Danio rerio: one gene and its partners. The protein of the gene in region 2 interacts with the protein of the main gene of each other region in a pairwise test. Links are inferred from orthologs where the notes say so. Each region holds a gene or a part of one and is shown on either strand. Other genes may lie near its edges.

Region 1 (5,685 bases), on a different chromosome or scaffold from region 2:
CTGAAAAATCATACTTAAGTAAAATTACCATTACTTGCCCAAATATGTAGTAAAAGTGTTTGTTGTAAATATTACTCAAAGTACTCCGTTTTCATGCAATTTGTAACATTGTAACATTCTGTAGTGCATTTAGGTATTGTCCAGCAGGCACGCAACGCCATAAGATATTAATATTAGGTTAGGTTGTGATGTCAGGTGACCAAAATTCAATGTCTAGCCAGCGTCCAAGGACAAAGTCATTTTGATGTCCAATAACAACGTCAAATGGTGTTAATATTTGGTTGATTTTAGGTGGTGTTAGAAAGGGACCAAAATCCAACATTGAGCCAACATCTTCCACACAACGTCAAGCTGTAACATCATTACACGTTGACATTTGGTTGATTTTGAGTTGGTTGTTGGACATTGACGTCGGCCTGACATTGAGTTCTGACGCCAACCCGATTTTCATTTTCAAACAAAATGCAGCGTCGCCACAACGTCATTCTGACATCATGTTGACGTCTTGTGCCTGCTGGGTGTTTTTTTACTGCCATTTTGTTTACATCATCATACAGTAAACATTTGTCATCTCCTCATCAGTGACATGCATCTAAACAGTCTTTGGGTCAATGCGTGTAAAGATTTTGGACATCTTGGACACTTTTAATGCTTCCACAATTTACTGCAATTATAATTATAAATCCCCCATGTCTTTAGATAGTTTGTTATGATGCGATTTACCTTCTATGTGCAATCTGGATCAGAACCCAGCCCTAATATTCTGTTTATATATATATATATATATATATATATATATATATATATATATATATATATATATATATATATATATATATATTATTTATATATTGTTATTTTTTCCTTTTCTAGACAGAATGAAAATTAACCTTGACATGAGTATGCTGGGTCATTGAATTGCATTTTAATTGTGTGTGTGTGAGAGAGAGAGAGAGAGATGAGCAACAAGTTAATGGGTGGCTGCAGTTCACCTAACAGCCACCAGTGTTGCTAATAACAAAAACCCCAAAAGTAAAATGGTCCTTACCTTTAGAGATTTTTTTTCTGATAAAATTAAGAAGAATGTTTTTGACATATAGCCTTTGACTTCCATAATAGGATGGAAATACTAAAGTCAGTGGCTACTGGTTTCCAACATGCTTCAAAATATATTTAGTGTTCAAAAGAAGAAAGAAACCTCAAACATATTAAAACAAATGCTGGATTAGTAAATGATGACTTTTAAGAGTCAATATCATCTGCCCACAATATTTAAATGTTAGAATCATTGGTCAATTAGCTTCTATTTTACTGAAGACAATTCATAAATGTGATGGAAAATGTGCTACCACAAGAATAAAAACTAAAAGAAAAGTGTCTTACAAAAATATAACAATCATTGTTTGCTTAAATATCACACCAAAAAAAAAAAGAGTCTCACTCTCACGTGTCATATAGTTCAAAAGCAGTTTACTTCAAACCATTTACCTTTTCTAACTGCATTAACCTGCATGTATAGAAATAGTTCACCTGTGCCAGAAGCTCTGATGCACTCGGATATTAAAAACAAGGAAAGAAAAACCAAATGAGAAGCATTTGATTATTACGCACTAACATGAAGCAGTCTCTGTGTGCGCGCGCATGTTACATGGTCATGAAGTGTGGCAGAAGGCAAACCTCGAGTCTGCCGCCTTCCTCGCACAAACAAACAAACAAACAAACAAACAAACAAACAAACGACATTAAATATAAAATGAGTAGGACCCGTCCGCTGATCTCCCGTCAGTCTCCGTGTAGTGCTGTGCCTGACAGCTCGTGCTTCTGCGCTCAAACACGCACATACACACAGCTCATCTGCCCTATCCGAGTCCTGGAGGAAGTTTCAATGAGAACTACGATGATGCTCAATTGTCGTCGCACAGAAGCACAGACCGTCCTACGCGTCTCCAGTCCATCTTAGGTCCCGGTTGTTCGTCAGAGTTTCCTCTTGATGATGGTGTTGGCGCAGATCAGCCGTTCGCGCTCCTGCTCGCGCTGCCGCAGCTCGTCCTGCAGCCGTGCCTCGGTGACTCGCAGCTGCCGGATGGTGTTCTTCATCTCCTTCATTTTGATCTCCATCAGCGCGATTATGTCCCGCTGCTCGTTCAGCTTTCGCAGCAGCTCCGTGGACGTTGTGCCGGTGGTGAGCGAGTACGAATGATCCGCCCCGCACAGCGCGAAATCGGCCACGGAGCACGACTCGTGGACAGCGGACTCCTCTCCGCCGGACACCACCGCTGTGATGCACGAGCCGTCCCCGGACGACGTGAGGTCCACGGGCGCGATGTACTGGCCGTTCTGGCCGATCTGCACCACGGTGGTGTTTTCGATGTCCCCCTCCTCCTCGTCCTCCTCCAGCGGAGCGGTCTCGTTAGCGGTGGACACGACGCTGGTGATGATGGGCACGACCGCAGAAACCTTCCTGCTCCGGCCGCGTCTGCTCCGTCTCTCGTTCACCCCGCGCAGAGGGAAAAGCGTCGGGACGCGGATGGTGTAGGTCTTTCTGCCGCCGGGGAAGTGGACGCTGCAGACCCGGTGACCGGTGGTGGGCTGGAAAGTGCTAAAGCAGCCGCTCACCCCGGCCCGCGAAATGTTCTTCAGCCATATCTCTCGCTGAGTGGGATCCTTTGGAAAGGTGTAGAATCGCAGATCGCGGTCCCGGTGTGAGTTGTTGTAGCATCCGGGCACGCAGCAAGTGAAGCCGGGCATGATTGTGTAAAAGATGCACCAGTAATACTGCAGTGCCTTACAAGTGTACCTATTTTAGTTTTGTTTGGTTCCTTCGTGTGCTGTTATCCAGACCAGCGGCCTACAAGCGGAACTACACGTCCCACAATACTTACAACTTCCTGTTTTGGTTTCAAATGCTTGTCGATCTCGCGTCTGCGCAGATTGGCGCCTTTTGAGCACTTCACAGTGTAAAAAAACACCAGTGTCGCAATACTGTGTTTACGTCTTTAACGTGCACTGTGTGCATCAAAATGAGACGTGTTTATGCAATAAACCGAACTAGTTTTATCACCACATTGTGTTGATCAATGTAAAGTACGATGGTGTACCGTCCATCACCACTTCCAACGTTTAAATATAAAATGTAGAGTCTACCTTTTATACAGAATGACTCCAAAAAGCCAAACAAACAAACAAAACATAATTAATAACAATACATAAAGCATATAAAACATTAAAAGCATATCCTCGTGCTACTGTAATGTAACATTTACACGGGGGCCAGTTTAAAGAAATAGCACAGCTTACTTTGATACTGAGACTCAGTAAGTCTGGAATATAAACAAGACAGTCCATCTGTAATCATTCATTCATTCATTTTTTTGTCGGCTTTATTAATCTGGGGTTGCCATAGCGGAATGAACTGCCATCTTATCCAGCAAGTTTTTACACAGCAGATGCTCTTCCAGCTGCAACCCATTTCTGGGAAACATTCACACACGCACTCTCATACACTACGGACAATTTAGTCTACCCAATTTACCATTACCGCATGTCTTTGGACTGTGGGGGAAACCAGAGCACCCGGAGGAAACCCACCCGAAGGCAGGGAGAACATGCAAACTCCACACAGAAACGCCAACTGAGCCGAGGTTCAAACCAGCGACCTTCTTGCTGAGGCGACAGCACTACCTACTGCACCACTGCCTCGCCCCCATCTGTAATAGTTAATTAATAATAATAGTGAATAATGTCTCAGTCTTTTTCAGAGACTGAAAATAAGGACATCATGACACAAAAGCATGATCAACAGAGAAAAGCCACAAAGAAGTTATGACATATTCTTTAACAGCTGCACATAATGACATAACCCACAAAAGTATTATGTAGCCTTAGCCTATGATCATATGACAGACAGAGGGTCCAAAGCATCACTCAAAGGTCAAACTAAGGTGCTTATCTTCACGATAAGCCCCAAACACAGTGTAAATAAGCGTTTGTACATAAGATAAACAGAATGTTCTTTTAGAGATTAAAACCTTTTAAAGAAATGATAACATTAAATATTTAATTTTCCCTTAACTTTCTGTGATGTTTTGAATATTTGTAGCCACACTGCCGAAACATTTAAAATAATAACTGATTTGTATGATCATTTATTTTATTTTCAGCTTAGTCCCTTTATTAATCAGTGGTCGACACAGCGGAATGAACCGCTAACTAATCCAGCTGTGTTTTTATGCAGCTGCAACCCATCACTGGGAAACACCCATACTTACACTCTCGTTCACAAACAATTTTAGCTTACCCAATTCACCTGTACAGCATGTCTTTGGACTTGTGGGGAAAATCGCCACACGGGGAGAACATGCAAACTCCACACAGAAATGCCAGCCGACCCAGCCGAGGCTCAAACCAGCGTCCTTCTTGCTGTGAGGCGAGCCAACAGATACTTGTCAATATATATATACACACACACACACACACACACACACATATATATATATATATATATATATATATATATATATATATATATATATGTGTGTGTGTGTGTGTGTGTGTGTGTGTGTGTGTGTGTGTGTGTGTGTGTGTGTGTGTGTGTGTGTGTAAAATATTAGTATACTCTTGCAGATTTACTCACATTTGTGTTTATGAAAGTTTGCAAGTAAAAGAATATTAACTAGATGTATGTGGCATGCCGAAATGTGTTTCAAACTACTTTTTTTGCTCTGTTCTCAAACATGTCCTATATTTGTTTAGCAAAACAATACCTAACAGCGAAAACACGTGTTTGTGCCTCTAGCTGGAGGGACTGAATGGAATGTGAGAGTTCAACATATGGGCGTGGCAGAAAAAGAACACGACAGGGTGGCGCATGCGCAGTTTACCGAAAGTCTCGCATTGGAGATCAGCCTACACAGCAGTAGGCAAGAGCGCAGCAGCAGACACAACTGTAGGTTTGTAGATGGAACAACAACGCACTGTGATTTCAACACGGACCAAGAATATTCCGTACGTAAGGTTGAGAGGGCTTAAGGTGTGACGAGTTTGCCCAGTGTTTCCTCAAGCCGTTTGGTTGACATGAGAGCTCCGAGTCCTGTCTAGTGTTGATCAGAAAGGCAGGGAGGGAGGTGTCCGTCCACTATCCTCTGTTCATCATCATTCTCCACAGCACCAGCGCCATCGCATCCCGACCCGGAGCTTTGTGTTGCGGTAAGTAACCTCCTGTGGAGAAATACAAATAAAAGGCACTGAATTAGCACAAAGGTTAAAGCTCTGTATGGAGGAATATGTGTGTCTGTGACCGTGTGTGGTTCGGCTAAGCTACAACGTTTGTGTATTTGATAATAGACATATCTAGTTTTTGAAGTGTATCGGAATGGTTTATATTGCTTTTATAACAACAGGCATCCGATGCCATCATTAAACCTCCATCAGGGGAAGTGATGCTAACATTAGTATACCTTTAAAATGGCCCACACAATTGATATACTTGACATTTGTTTAGTAAAAGCACCATTATTTACTCCCCATGCCAGTTTTATTTCCCATTTCCAATTTCTCCATGTCAGTTTCTCAATACAGATATAAATAGAAACTACCTTGTGTTTAATCCATAGAGGAAATACAAGCATGCTTCTCATTTGCCTTTGCCGGGCAGGTGCACAGCCTTTGGGATGTAAATGAATTTGC
Region 2 (6,504 bases):
ACACATACACACACACACACACACACACACACACACACACACACACACACACACACACACACACACACAAACAGATAATACACATACCCACACACAAACACACTGAGACACATTATATATACACATTATATAAACACAGAAAAACACAATACACAGACACACAATACACACATTTAATATACAGAAAACAACACAGTAAACACACTGAGCCACAGTCACACAAACCAAACATTAAACACACACACACACACAAACACACCGACACACATAATGCACCCAGACACACACACACAAAGACCGAGATAGATAAAATACACATACACAAACACACCAAGACACATAATGCACACAGATACACACACACATCGAGACACATACACACACACACACACACACACACACACAAACAGATAATACACATACACACACACAAACACACTGAGACACATTATATATACACATACACACACACACAGACACACACACACAAATACATACACACATTAGTCACACACACAAACCATAAATACACACTAAACACAGAGAAACACAATACACAGACACACAATACACACATTTAATAAACAGAAAACAACACAGTAAACACACTGAGCCACAGTCACACAAACCAAACATTAAACACACACACACACACAAACACACCGACACACATAATGCACCCAGACACACACACACAAAGACCGAGATAGATAAAATACACATACACAAACACACCAAGACACATAATGCACACAGATACACACACACATCGAGACACATACACATACACACACACACACACACACACACACACACACACAAACAGATAATACACATACACACACACAAACACACTGAGACACATTATATATACACATACACACACACACAGACACACACACACAAATACATACACACATTAGTCACACACACAAACCATAAATACACACTAAACACAGAGAAACACAATACACAGACACACAATACACACATTTAATAAACAGAAAACAACACAGTAAACACACTGAGCCACAGTCACACAAACAAAACATTAAACACACACACACACACCGACACACATAATGCACCCAGACAGACACAAACACACACACACATACACACATACACACACACACACACACACACACACACACACACACACAAAGACCGAGATAGATAAAATACACATACACAAACACACCAAGACACATAATGCACACAGATACACACACACATCGAGACACATACACACACACACACACACACACACAAAAACAGATAATACACATACACACACACAAACACACTGAGACACATTATATATACACATACACACACACACAGACACACACACACACACACACACACACATACAAATACATACACACATTAGTCACACACAAACCATAAATACTCACTAAACACAGAGAAACACAATACACAGACACACAATACACACATTTAATATACAGAAAACAACACAGTAAACACACTGAGCCACAGTCACACAAACCAAACATTAAACACACACACACACACAAACACACCGACAAAAAACACACACACCGACACACATAATGCACACACACACACAATTACGATAACAATTACGACACTCACGATAACAAGACTATATGAAACAGTTATTCGCCTCATCAGCAGCTGAAGTCAGTGTGTGTGTGTGTGTGTGTGTTACTGACCCTTTTCGACTCTGTGAGCTCAAAGCACGGCTGTTTCTCTAGAAATGATCTCAAGTCTTCTGGTAAATCCTCCATTATTACACAGCTAAACCCGATATGAGACAAACCCGGTGTGAAAAACAACACAACCCCAAAACTATCACCACAGAACTCTGTGAAAACACGATTAATATTAAACTAAGAGGATAAACGTGTGTGTTTTGCTGCACATGCTGAGCGGCGCGACGTCTTAAAAACTACAACATGACGTCATATAAACACGACAAAGACCCTAACGCAATGCCAGACAGAAATTTGTTTTTAAAGCTTTAAAATCATTACAGGCTTTAAAGTCACTACATAACTAATCTGTATGATCTTATTTGGTCATTATTTTAAGTTAAAATACATTTTGAGCAGAGAAAACGGGTGATTTATCATTCTGATGAGGCGCATTATTGGACAGTCCTGACAGTCAGCTGACACTCAGCTCTTCGTCGCTCGTCATCGCGTTTTTAATGTTTGTGTGGTAAATAAACATGTGTGTAGTGTCATTACATAGACAGTGTGTGTTATAACTCATATTAAAGTTGTTTTGTGAGCGTTATAATCCGCTGTTTTAGCTTGTTTCTGCGTGTAAACATGTCTGGACCGAACGGAGATCCCGATATTTCAGCTGAAGGAATAATCGAGGATGAAGATGAGTTCAACGAAGAAGGTTAATAATGACGCTTTATTTGATTATTTTCTGCTATTTCTTAACGGTTTTATTATACTATTCGTTTTTTTTAAATAAATAAGTTTACAATGTTATATACAGCCTATAATATATAAATATAAAACCGTGTAAATTTCAGTTTTTCTTTATTTATTGTGTATTGGTTGGACTAAAATGTAAACATTTGCATTATTTTAAAATAAAGGCCCCGAATTTAAAGTAAAAAAATATAGAAAATAAGCTTATTCTATCTAATATTGAGTTATTCATTTTCTGAAGTCAAACACTTATGTTGACTAAAATGAATATAAACATGTGAAAACACAGCATTTTGGGTTATTTTATGACAAAAAATGCTTTAAACTAGCTATTTTACTTATAATTTCTAAGAAATGTCATGAGTAGTTTACAGAATTAAACCAAATTTATGTTTTACTCACACGTACCTAAATAATAAATCCAGAGAAAGAGAGCAACGTTAGCACACACACACACACACACACACACACACACACACTCACACACACACACACACACACACACACACACACACACACACACACACACACACACACACACACACACTTTAAACAAAAAATAATAAATAGTACTAAATAATATGCCATATTTAGGTCTTAATATTTGCAGTGTAAAACCTTTTTTTTTTTTTTAAATATGAACACTACAATAGCACAGAAATAATGGAAAAGTCCAGTGGATGACTAACGTCTGCTAGATGTTAAAACCATCGTTGTGTCAGCGAAACATCCTGAAAGAGGAGCCAAAGAAAGAGGAAGTGTGTGTGTGCAGAGCTGTGCTGATTACTTATGAAATGTAATAAGTTACTGATTACAAATTACATGACAAAATTAGTAATCAGTAATACAATCTCATAGATTACACATTTGTGGTAATGTAACCAAGCTACTTAAATTTCATTTAGATTACTTTTGAACTACTGATTACATCATAAAATTAGTAATCAGTAATGTAATCTGTTAGATTATGGCAATGTAATCTGATTACTTTTGGATTAGATTTACATTTTTTTAACTGTTCTCAGTTACTGATTACAAATACCATGGCAATATTACTCAGTAATATAAGACGTTTATGGCAAGTAACCTGACTACTTTTGGATTACATTTAGATTACCTTTTAACTTTAATCAATTGCTAATTACAAATTACATGACAAAATCTGTAGTAATTTCGTCTGTTAGATTACACAGTTATGGTAATGTAATCTAACTACTTTTAGATTGCATTTAGATAACTTTTTTTACTGCTGATTACAAATTACATGACAAATTGTGCAGTCAGTAATAAAATAAATTAGGTTACGCATTTGTGGTAATGTAACAAAAGGACTTGGATTACATTTAGATTGCTTTTAATTACTGATTACATGATAAAAATATTAATCAGTAATGTATTCTGTTGGATTACGCATTTATGGTAACGCAATCTGACTACTTTTGGATAACATTTAAATTACTTGTGAATTAATTAGTTACTAATTACAAATTACTAAATTAGTAGTCAGTAATATAATCTCTTAGATTACACATTTTTGGTAATGTAATCAGACGTCTTTAAATTTAAATTACTTTTAAACAGTAATCATTGCTGGTTACAAATTACATGATCAGATTAGTAATCGGTAATACAATCTCTTAGATTACATATTTGTGGTAATGTAACCAAAGTACTTGGATTACATTTAGATTACTTTTGAATTACTGATTACAAATTACATTTTAAAATTGGTAATCAGTATTGTATTCTGTTGGACTTCGCAATTATGTAAATCTGACTACTTTTGGATTACATTTAGATTACTTTCGAAATGTACTCAGTTACAGATTACAAATACCATGACAAAACTAGTCAGTAATATAATACAATTATGGTAATGTAATCAGACTACTTTTGGATTACATTTAGATTACTTTTTTTAACGGTAATCAACTGCTTATTGCAAACTACATGACAAATTGTGTAGTCAGTAATAAAATATATTAGATTACATGTGTGGTAATGTACCAAAGGACTTGGATTACATTTAGATTACTTTTAAATTACTGATTACATGATAAAAATAGTAATCAGTAATGTATTCTGTTGAATTACACGTTTATGGTAACGCAATCTGACTATGGATTACATTTAAATTACTTGTGAACTAATTAGATACTGATTACAGATTACTAAATTAGAAGTCAGTAATATAATCTCTTAGATTACACATTTGTGGTGATGTAACGAAAGGACTTGGATTACATTTAGATTACTTTTGAATCATTGATTACATGATACAATTAGTAATCAGTGATATAATCTGTTGGATTACACGTTTAAGGTAACCTAATCTCACTACATGTGGATTATTAACTAAACTGTTACTGATTACAGATTACATGAGAAAATGTTTTGTCAGTAATATAATCACTTAGATTACACATTTTTTGGTAATGTAATCAGACGTCTTTTGGATTAAATTGAGATTACTTTCAAACAGTAATCAATTGCTGGTTACAAATTATATGATCAAATTATTAGTAATCGGTAATACAATCTCTTAGATTACACATTTGTGGTAATGTAACCAAAGTACTTGGATTACATTTAGATTACTTTTGAATTACTGATTATTACAAATTACATGATAACATTAATAATCAGTAATATATTCTGTTAGATTACACATTTATGGTTATGTAATCTGACTACTTTTGGATTACATTTAGATTACTTTCAAACTGTTCACAGTTACTGATTACAAATTACATGACAAAATTAGTCAGTAATAAAATACATTTATGGTAATGCCATCTGACTACTTTTGGATTACATTTAGATTACTTTTATGCTAACCCATCTCTGATGTCACATACACTGATGCAGGATAATCTTGTTCTGTTTTGACAGATAGAAATAAAAATATATCTTCAGGATATTATTATAAACAAGTATAAACATTAAACACGAGGAGAATAAATGAATTGTGAATAATTTGCAGCCACTGTGTAAATGTAATCCACAAAAGTAATCCGATTAGCAGTATTTAAAAAAATACTTACTTGATTTTGGTAAATCTGATGAGGTGATCCAGATTACAGCTGCTATGTGTTTTCCTCAACGTTCAGCTGTTATAATGTGTTATGCTGTGTTTTCGTTAGAGTACGCAGCCATCGACTCCATGCTGGACCAGATCAACTCCTGTCTGGACGACATCGAGGAGCGAAACGATGCTCTGAACGGGAAACTGCAGGAGCTGCTGGAGTCCAACAGAGCGGCGCGCAGAGACTTCAGACAGCAGATCACGGACCATGCAGATCTTCCTCCTCCTGCTAATGATGATGAAGATGAACAGTCCAGGGACGCACAGAAGAAAGACTAAAGGAATGTCTCTGTCTGACACCTGCAGCTGGACCAAAACTGTGTGTTATGTGTGTGTGTATTTATTAAATGTTGTGTATGTCCAAGATGTATTAATTTAAATACTGTGATTGAAGTCAGGTGCATCTTTAAAATGGCTGTAATGCACAGGATTACCAGCGCTCTGGAGTACTTGATTTTGAGATAATCTATTTATAGATATAGATAAGTGCAGTCTGATTAATCAAATCCAAAATAAAAGTTCATATTTACAAAATATACTTGTGCATACTGTGTATAAAAATAGATGTATGACTATATTGTGTGTGTGTATGTGTATATATATTAAATATAAATACAAATTGCAAAAATTTGTTGTATTTAATGTACAGTATATGTGTATATCTATCTATCTATACTTATGTATACTTACGGCCATGATTAACAGCTGTGACAGTCGTGATTGACAGCCATAATTAACAGCTGTGATTGACAGTCGTGATTGACAGCCATAATTAACAGCTGTGATTGACAGTCGTGATTGACAGCCATAATTAACAGCCATGATTGACAGTTGTGATTGACAGCCATAATTAACAGCTGTGATTGACAGTCGTGATTGACAGCCATAATTAACAGCTGTGATTGACAGTCGTGATTGACAGCCATGATTAACAGCTGTGATTGACAGTCGTGATTGACAGCCATGATTAACAGCTGTGATTGA
Region 3 (6,424 bases), on a different chromosome or scaffold from region 2:
GAAAAGATTGGGACATTATGGAAAACCCAAATAAAAAAGAAATGTCTAATTTACATTGACTAATTTTATTTCAGACAATACAACACACATTATTTGATCTGTTCCTCATTGTTATTTTTTTTAAATAAACACATTCCAAGTTTGGTTTTCGCAACACATTTAAAAAAAGTTAGAACAGTAAAGCATTTACCACTTTGTATGGTGCCATTCCTTTTCACAACACTTAAAAGACGTTTGCAGACTGAAGACACTAAATTGATAAAGTGTTTCAGGTGTAATCTTGTCCCATTCTTCCTGCAAGCCTTACAGTGGGCAACAGCACATGATCTTTATTGTTGCAATTTGTGCCCTCAAAATGCACCACATATTCTCTATTGGAGACAGGTTCGGACTGCATGCAGGCCAGTCAAGTACCTGTATCCTCTTTCTCCGCAGCCAGGACTTGTAATGTGTTCAGAATGTGGTTTTGCATTGGCTTGTTGAAATGTGCATGGGGGTCCCTGGAAAAGACGGCAACATATTGTCTACAAAACCTCTATGTACTTTTCAGCATTAATGGTGCCATCACAGAAGTGCAAGTACCAAGTGCCAAGGTATTTAATTTCCCCTAAAAATACTTGAAATACTGATTCATCTAACCACAGCACACACTTTCATTGTGTGATGGTCCATCCCAGATGTCTCAGAGCCCAGAGAAGTTGACAGCACTTCTGGACACTGTTAACATAGGGCTTCCTTTTGGCACAGTAAAGTTTTAACTGGCATTTGTGGATGTAACATATTGTGGAAAATGTTTGTCAAAGTAGTCCTGAGCCCATGTGGTGATATTACTTATAGATGAATGACGATTCTTGATACAGTGCTGGGATCGGAGATTATGATAGTTCAGCTTAGGCTTGCAACCTTGTCCTTTACACACTGAAATTCCTTCAGACTACCTGAATCTTATAATTATGTTTTGCACTGAAGGTGAAATTTTCAAATGTCTTCCTATCTTTCTTTGAGGACCTTGTTTTTAAACATTTTAATAATTTTCTTATGTGTTTGTTTCAAAGTGGCGATCCCCCGCCCATCTTTGCTCCTAAAGGACTAGACCTTTCTTGGATGCTGTTTTTGTACCAGATCATAATTACAATCACCTGTTGACACTACCTGTTTCAAATCACATCAATATTTAACCAATTTACCAGATTATCATCCCTAAACTGCTCCTGTCACAACTTTTTTGGAATGTGTTGCAGGTATGAATGACAGGAAGGGATGCATATTTAAATGAAATTGAAATTGACCTGACAAAACATGAAATATTTTGTGTTTATATTGTCTGCAATGAAATACAAGTCAAAGCAAATTTGGAAATCACTACTTTCTTTTTTTTTTTGCGTTTTCCATGCTGCGTTTTCACATGCTGTGATTTGTTCTGGAGATGCTTAAAACCTAGCAATGATTATACATACCAATTCTTGCTTGTTCTGCCCCTGCGCTGTCTACAACCTCATAGGCACATTTAATTTCATCCAGTTTCATCTAAAAACCCAAACATAAATAATAACATTAACTGATTCATAACAACAAATGCTCATGATAATTCAATGACCATACAACATAATTAAAAGAAATCTGGTAAATGTTAACTACTACATAACTACTGTACGCAGTGCTGCAAACATTGCGTAAATGATGAATCAGCCCTACCCTCAGAAGGGTTTGTGAGATCCTAAAGAGTTGAATCATTTTCTCAGAATCATCTGCTTTTAGGTCCCGTGGTTTGACCTGTATGCAAAAGAAATTTATTATCAGACAAATTTGCAAGAAGAATGTTTTCTTCCTTAAACATTCCGATAAGCGGATGTTAGCCTGAAAGCAAGACCTGAGGCTGGAGATGCTCTGTGGTTTGGCTTGAAAGAATAAACAATAAATATTTTTTTGAACATGCAACCACAAACACACACAATAACTGAGCATTAAGTTTGTAACTTCACATATTCACACTAAATAGTTTGTATTACTAGTAGTTAAATATAATTTTATCATTTATTTACTAAAAAAATAAAACCAGAAAACACAAACAAATATATAAATATAAAAACATACACCAAATCTCTTTTGATCAAGTATATATCCAATATATATAGTATGTGTAAATAAATATGTATAAATGAAAAAACTGTCTAAAGTGCCATTTTAACTATTGCATATAATTTAATTTATTTTGCACAGTCTGAGTCCTGTTGTTAATTGTAGCGTTTAAAATGATAGAAATGTGTAAGTAATAAAGCTCCCAGTATAGTTTACAACATATTTATATTTTGTGAAAAATAAATTGCAGTTATAACTGATTAACAGATGCAATTTATTCAGTAAACAACGGTTTAACAAAATAGAAAAAATATGTAATTTGTCCTTACTAATTATGTTTATCTTACCCTCCACTGTACTAAAAACATATTGGGTGATATCAGAATGAGTTATATACACCAGTGTTTCTCAACCACGTTCCAAGAGGACCACCAGCCTTGCACATTTTCCATGTTTTCTTAACCAAACACACCAAATTCAAATCATTAGCTCATTAGTAGACTGAAAGGCCTGTAATGGATAGAGGTAAAGTTGGTTTTCTTTTCGCACATTCGTTCATTTAGAAGTCCCTAAATTGTTTACCATGTTACTTTGAATATTCGTATGACTCCTAATCAACATTAACACTATCTAATTCACTGTGAACAATGCTGTACTTTGATAGTTATTTGCTGCTAATAAGATTTCTCTATTAAAAATTTGCAAAGAAGTTATCTAAATTATATTACTAATGAGAATGTCTCAATATCCAAATATAAAACCAACTTTACCTCTATCTGTTATGAGTGTGACACCCAAAACATGCAATGATGGTGGTCCCACAGGAATGTGTTTCAGAAACACTAATTTACACAACCATAATTCTATTCAAGAATGTTGAGTCTAAAATACATTTTTTAATGATCACATATTGTGTGTGTGATCATTAAAAAAAAAATATAAAAAAAAAAAAAAAAAAAAAAAAAAATATATATATATATATATATATATATATATATATATATATATATATATATATATATATATATATATAAGTGTTTCTTTAATAATTGCAACTCCAGATTGTTGTATTGTAGTTGCAGATTGTTGTAACATCTAGCTACACTCCTCACAATTAGTGTGCCTCAAACGTGTCAGATTACCATTAAAATCAAATCACAGATCTTCTCATCCTCATCCCCCAGATCCTCTGGATCCATTCCCATGAGGAGCCGCCAGTCTGCGGCCGCAGGCATTCTTCAGGTCAGCTGCAAATGTCCCCCAGAGCTGAACTGAACAACTGATGCTGAGATTGCCAGTCTTTTTCTACCTACAGACAACATGCAAAACGAATGTAGTTTATTTCTTCACACGGACTTCTCATTGAAAACAACACCATATACCGTCACAGCACAAAAGAGTCATAGCAGAATAATAAATACACGACAAAACGCCATGCTAAATATATTAGCCAGACATATAACGTTAGTTAGTTCTCACAATGTCGATAATTAGAAATGCATGCAATTGCTCGTATTTGGGTTGGTTTTGTTCGTTAGCATAAACCTAAATTTGAACACGTCTTAATGTCAACTTTTACACATATTTGTGAAACTAAAGACACTGAAAATAACGTTTTCAGACCTTATTAAGCCATCTTGGGTTCCTCTTGCGCTCCCGCTGCTGCTAGGCAACAAGGAAAACAGTCGTAAAACGTAACGTCGTAAAATTGTCTCTGTTTGGATTCTTTTTAAAAAAAATATTTCCTTTATACGCGGTCCATTCATTATAAGGGAATCACAACTAAAACCATATATCTATCTGTGTCTATACGTTATTTGAAATGGCATTACAGAAACACAAAATCCGCGAACGGCTACTCTGTAATTCCCTACTTTTGTTGTGCCAGGCATTTTGACCCGGAAGCAGTTGTTGGACTCTGTTAATTCAATGCCGTGGATCGAACTTGCTGCTTTAGTCAACATAAACAAACATATTCTCTTTTCATTTAGCTTTTCCCCAGACATGACAAGGTGAGTTGCTTTAATTACATCCTAGCGATGACTGCTGACAGAGAAGATATTGTGAAATGACTGAAACCAGTGAATGCTAAAAGCACAGCTGAAGTTATGTTTGTTCTTTAAACCCAGCAGTCTTTTATGTGTCCAGTTGTCTTTTTATTTTCACTAAAATGTAGCTTATTTTTTACGCTTGGTTGTTGTGTCGATGTTTTATTTTCTGACTGTAATGTGTTAATTAATCGATTGATCTGAATGTAAAACAAATGCTAACTGATAGCATATGATCTGTGAGGCTGCGCCCTCTCTGCTCCGCTCAGTCCACACAGATTATCCCATTATTACTGCGATTAATCTGCTCTTTTATTGCTGCATTTCGTAGCTGCTTAAGGACGTAATGCAGTATTCTAATATAAACTTGTTTTAGAAAGGTTATATACAATTTCTGAGGCTTTTAAAAGGTTTTCCAGGGATGGAAAAGGTCATCGAAATGAATGAAATATTGAAAGATTGACGATTATGTATTTGTATGTATGTTTATTTATTTATATGTCCGATCTGGTCTAAAACATTCACAAAGTACATTTACTTCTCATTATTGTTTTAGTATTATCTAAACACTGTTATAGTATTTCTTTATGTTTCAATTAGTTACTTCATTAGTATGCTTCAAGTAAATTGTAGTCATTTTGATAATTTAACAAAAAATACATTTACCTGTATCAATTCTAGTTTTCATTTAGAGGTTCTAACATTTTCTTTCAGCTTTATGTAAAATAAACAAAACCAATCACAATGATAAAACCACATCAAAATTACAGGAACCTTAAATAGTGAAAATGTATTAAACATAAATAATATAATTGAACACTGTTGCTTCACAGCAAGAAGGTCGCTGGTTCGAGTCCCAGCTGGGCTAGTTGGCATTTCTGTGTGGAGTTGCATGTTCTCCCCGTGTTGGTGTGGGTTTCCTCCGGGTGCTCCGGTGCTTACTCTCTCCTTAGTAATTTAATTTCACAAAATCATTTTTCGCAAACTCTAAATTTTAAAATTAATTTAACATCTAATGACAATCAAAGTACAACATGGTTCACAGTCACAGTTAAATAGGTCTGATGTTGTTTTGAAGTCATATTAATAGGCATGGGCTGGTATAAGATTCTGACGGTATGATAACCTTGGATATAAATATCACAGTTTTGCGGTGTCGCGGTATGGAGATTATTGCTCTAAAATATATTCTTTTTAAATGTCTGGGTAAAAAACAAAACATTTTCCCCTTTGTACACTATATATTTTCATTTGAGAAACATTTAAAGTATTTTGGAGCAGTAAACGTGAGGCTAAATAATTTAAACGAATTTTAGACTTCTGCTGTCTTCATTTATTTCAAAAACACTAAAAAGAACACTATTGTCCCTAAAAACGAACTGTTTTTAACTGTTTTAAAACCTTGACTTTTCCAAACCGCTGCATACCTTGAACACAGTTATCGTCCCATGCCTACATACTAACATGTGATTTCAGACCCAATATTCAAAATACCATGGTAAACAATATAGGGAGCATACCACAACCTGTCACTGACTGAATGTGCGAATGTAAAACCAACTTTACCTCTTTTTAACTTTAAGACATGCACTATAGGTGATATGAATGAACTTAATTGGCCGTAGTGAATGTGAGAGTGTATGGGTGTTTCCCAGTGATTGGTTGCAGCTGGAAGGGCATCCACTGCGTGAAACATATGCCACTATAGTTGGTGGTTCATTCCACAGTGGCAAATCCTGATAAATAAGGGACTAATTTGAAGGAAAATAAATGAAAGAATGAAGAACTGAAGAATTTGTTTTTCTAACTAACCAATCAACAATTTCCTACTGATAATAGACATTATCAAGTAATTACGTTATTATACAGTTTGGAATGGCATATGAGAAACTTGGTAAAGTAAGCATATTTTATCCATAGACTTTTTTTCAAATATGCTATACAGAATTATGCAAAAGGCTTTTCTTTTGCAGTAACCTGGGTCAAGCTCTTCTGGTGAACTGTTTGCATTAACAAAATCATTATCTTTAAAAATCAATGAGGTCCACTGCCTGATATATGATATAAAGTTGGTCTCAGGCGGTCAGACCTAACAATAAGCACTGCATTAATTTTCTTTTTCCAGCACCATATCTTAAAAATGGGCAAAGCAGTGGCGCAGTAGGTAGTGCTGTTGCCTCACAGCAAAAAGGTCGCTGGTTCGAGCCTCGGCCCTGTTAGCGTTTCTGTGTGGAGTTTGTATGTTCTCCCTGCGTTCGCGTGGGTTTCCTCCGTTTGCTCCGGTTTCCCCCACAGTC

Evidence for each region.
Region 1: the proteins of bbln (region 2) and thap11 interact in a two-hybrid assay, tested with the Homo sapiens proteins (2 studies listed by BioGRID and IntAct). The link is inferred for Danio rerio from reciprocal best matches to the Homo sapiens genes BBLN and THAP11.
Region 3: the proteins of bbln (region 2) and cep290 interact in binary tests that used the Homo sapiens proteins (3 or more experiments, as listed by UniProt). The two-hybrid records come from large-scale screens. The link is inferred for Danio rerio from reciprocal best matches to the Homo sapiens genes BBLN and CEP290.

The regions. Positions count from the first base shown.
Region 1 is NC_133182.1:29,080,772-29,086,456, forward strand, and holds thap11 (THAP domain-containing protein 11), read right to left. Parts: upstream 2,872-5,685; 5' UTR 2,749-2,871; coding exon 1,975-2,748; 3' UTR 1,454-1,974; downstream 1-1,453. UniProt on the Homo sapiens protein: Transcription factor, which has both transcriptional activation and repression activities. Also modulates chromatin accessibility.
Region 2 is NC_133180.1:1,623,785-1,630,288, forward strand, and holds bbln (bublin coiled-coil protein), read left to right. Parts: upstream 1-2,160; 5' UTR 2,161-2,321; coding exon 2,322-2,397; intron 2,398-5,578; coding exon 5,579-5,799; 3' UTR 5,800-6,157; downstream 6,158-6,504. UniProt on the Homo sapiens protein: Essential for intermediate filament organization in intestinal cells, interacts with intermediate filament and regulates intestinal lumen morphology.
Region 3 is NC_133200.1:18,972,584-18,979,007, forward strand, and holds the start of cep290 (centrosomal protein of 290 kDa), read right to left. Parts: upstream 3,754-6,424; 5' UTR 3,703-3,753; intron 3,389-3,702; 5' UTR 3,315-3,388; coding exon 3,222-3,314; intron 1,774-3,221; coding exon 1,696-1,773; intron 1,528-1,695; coding exon 1,458-1,527; intron 1-1,457. UniProt on the Homo sapiens protein: Involved in early and late steps in cilia formation. Its association with CCP110 is required for inhibition of primary cilia formation by CCP110.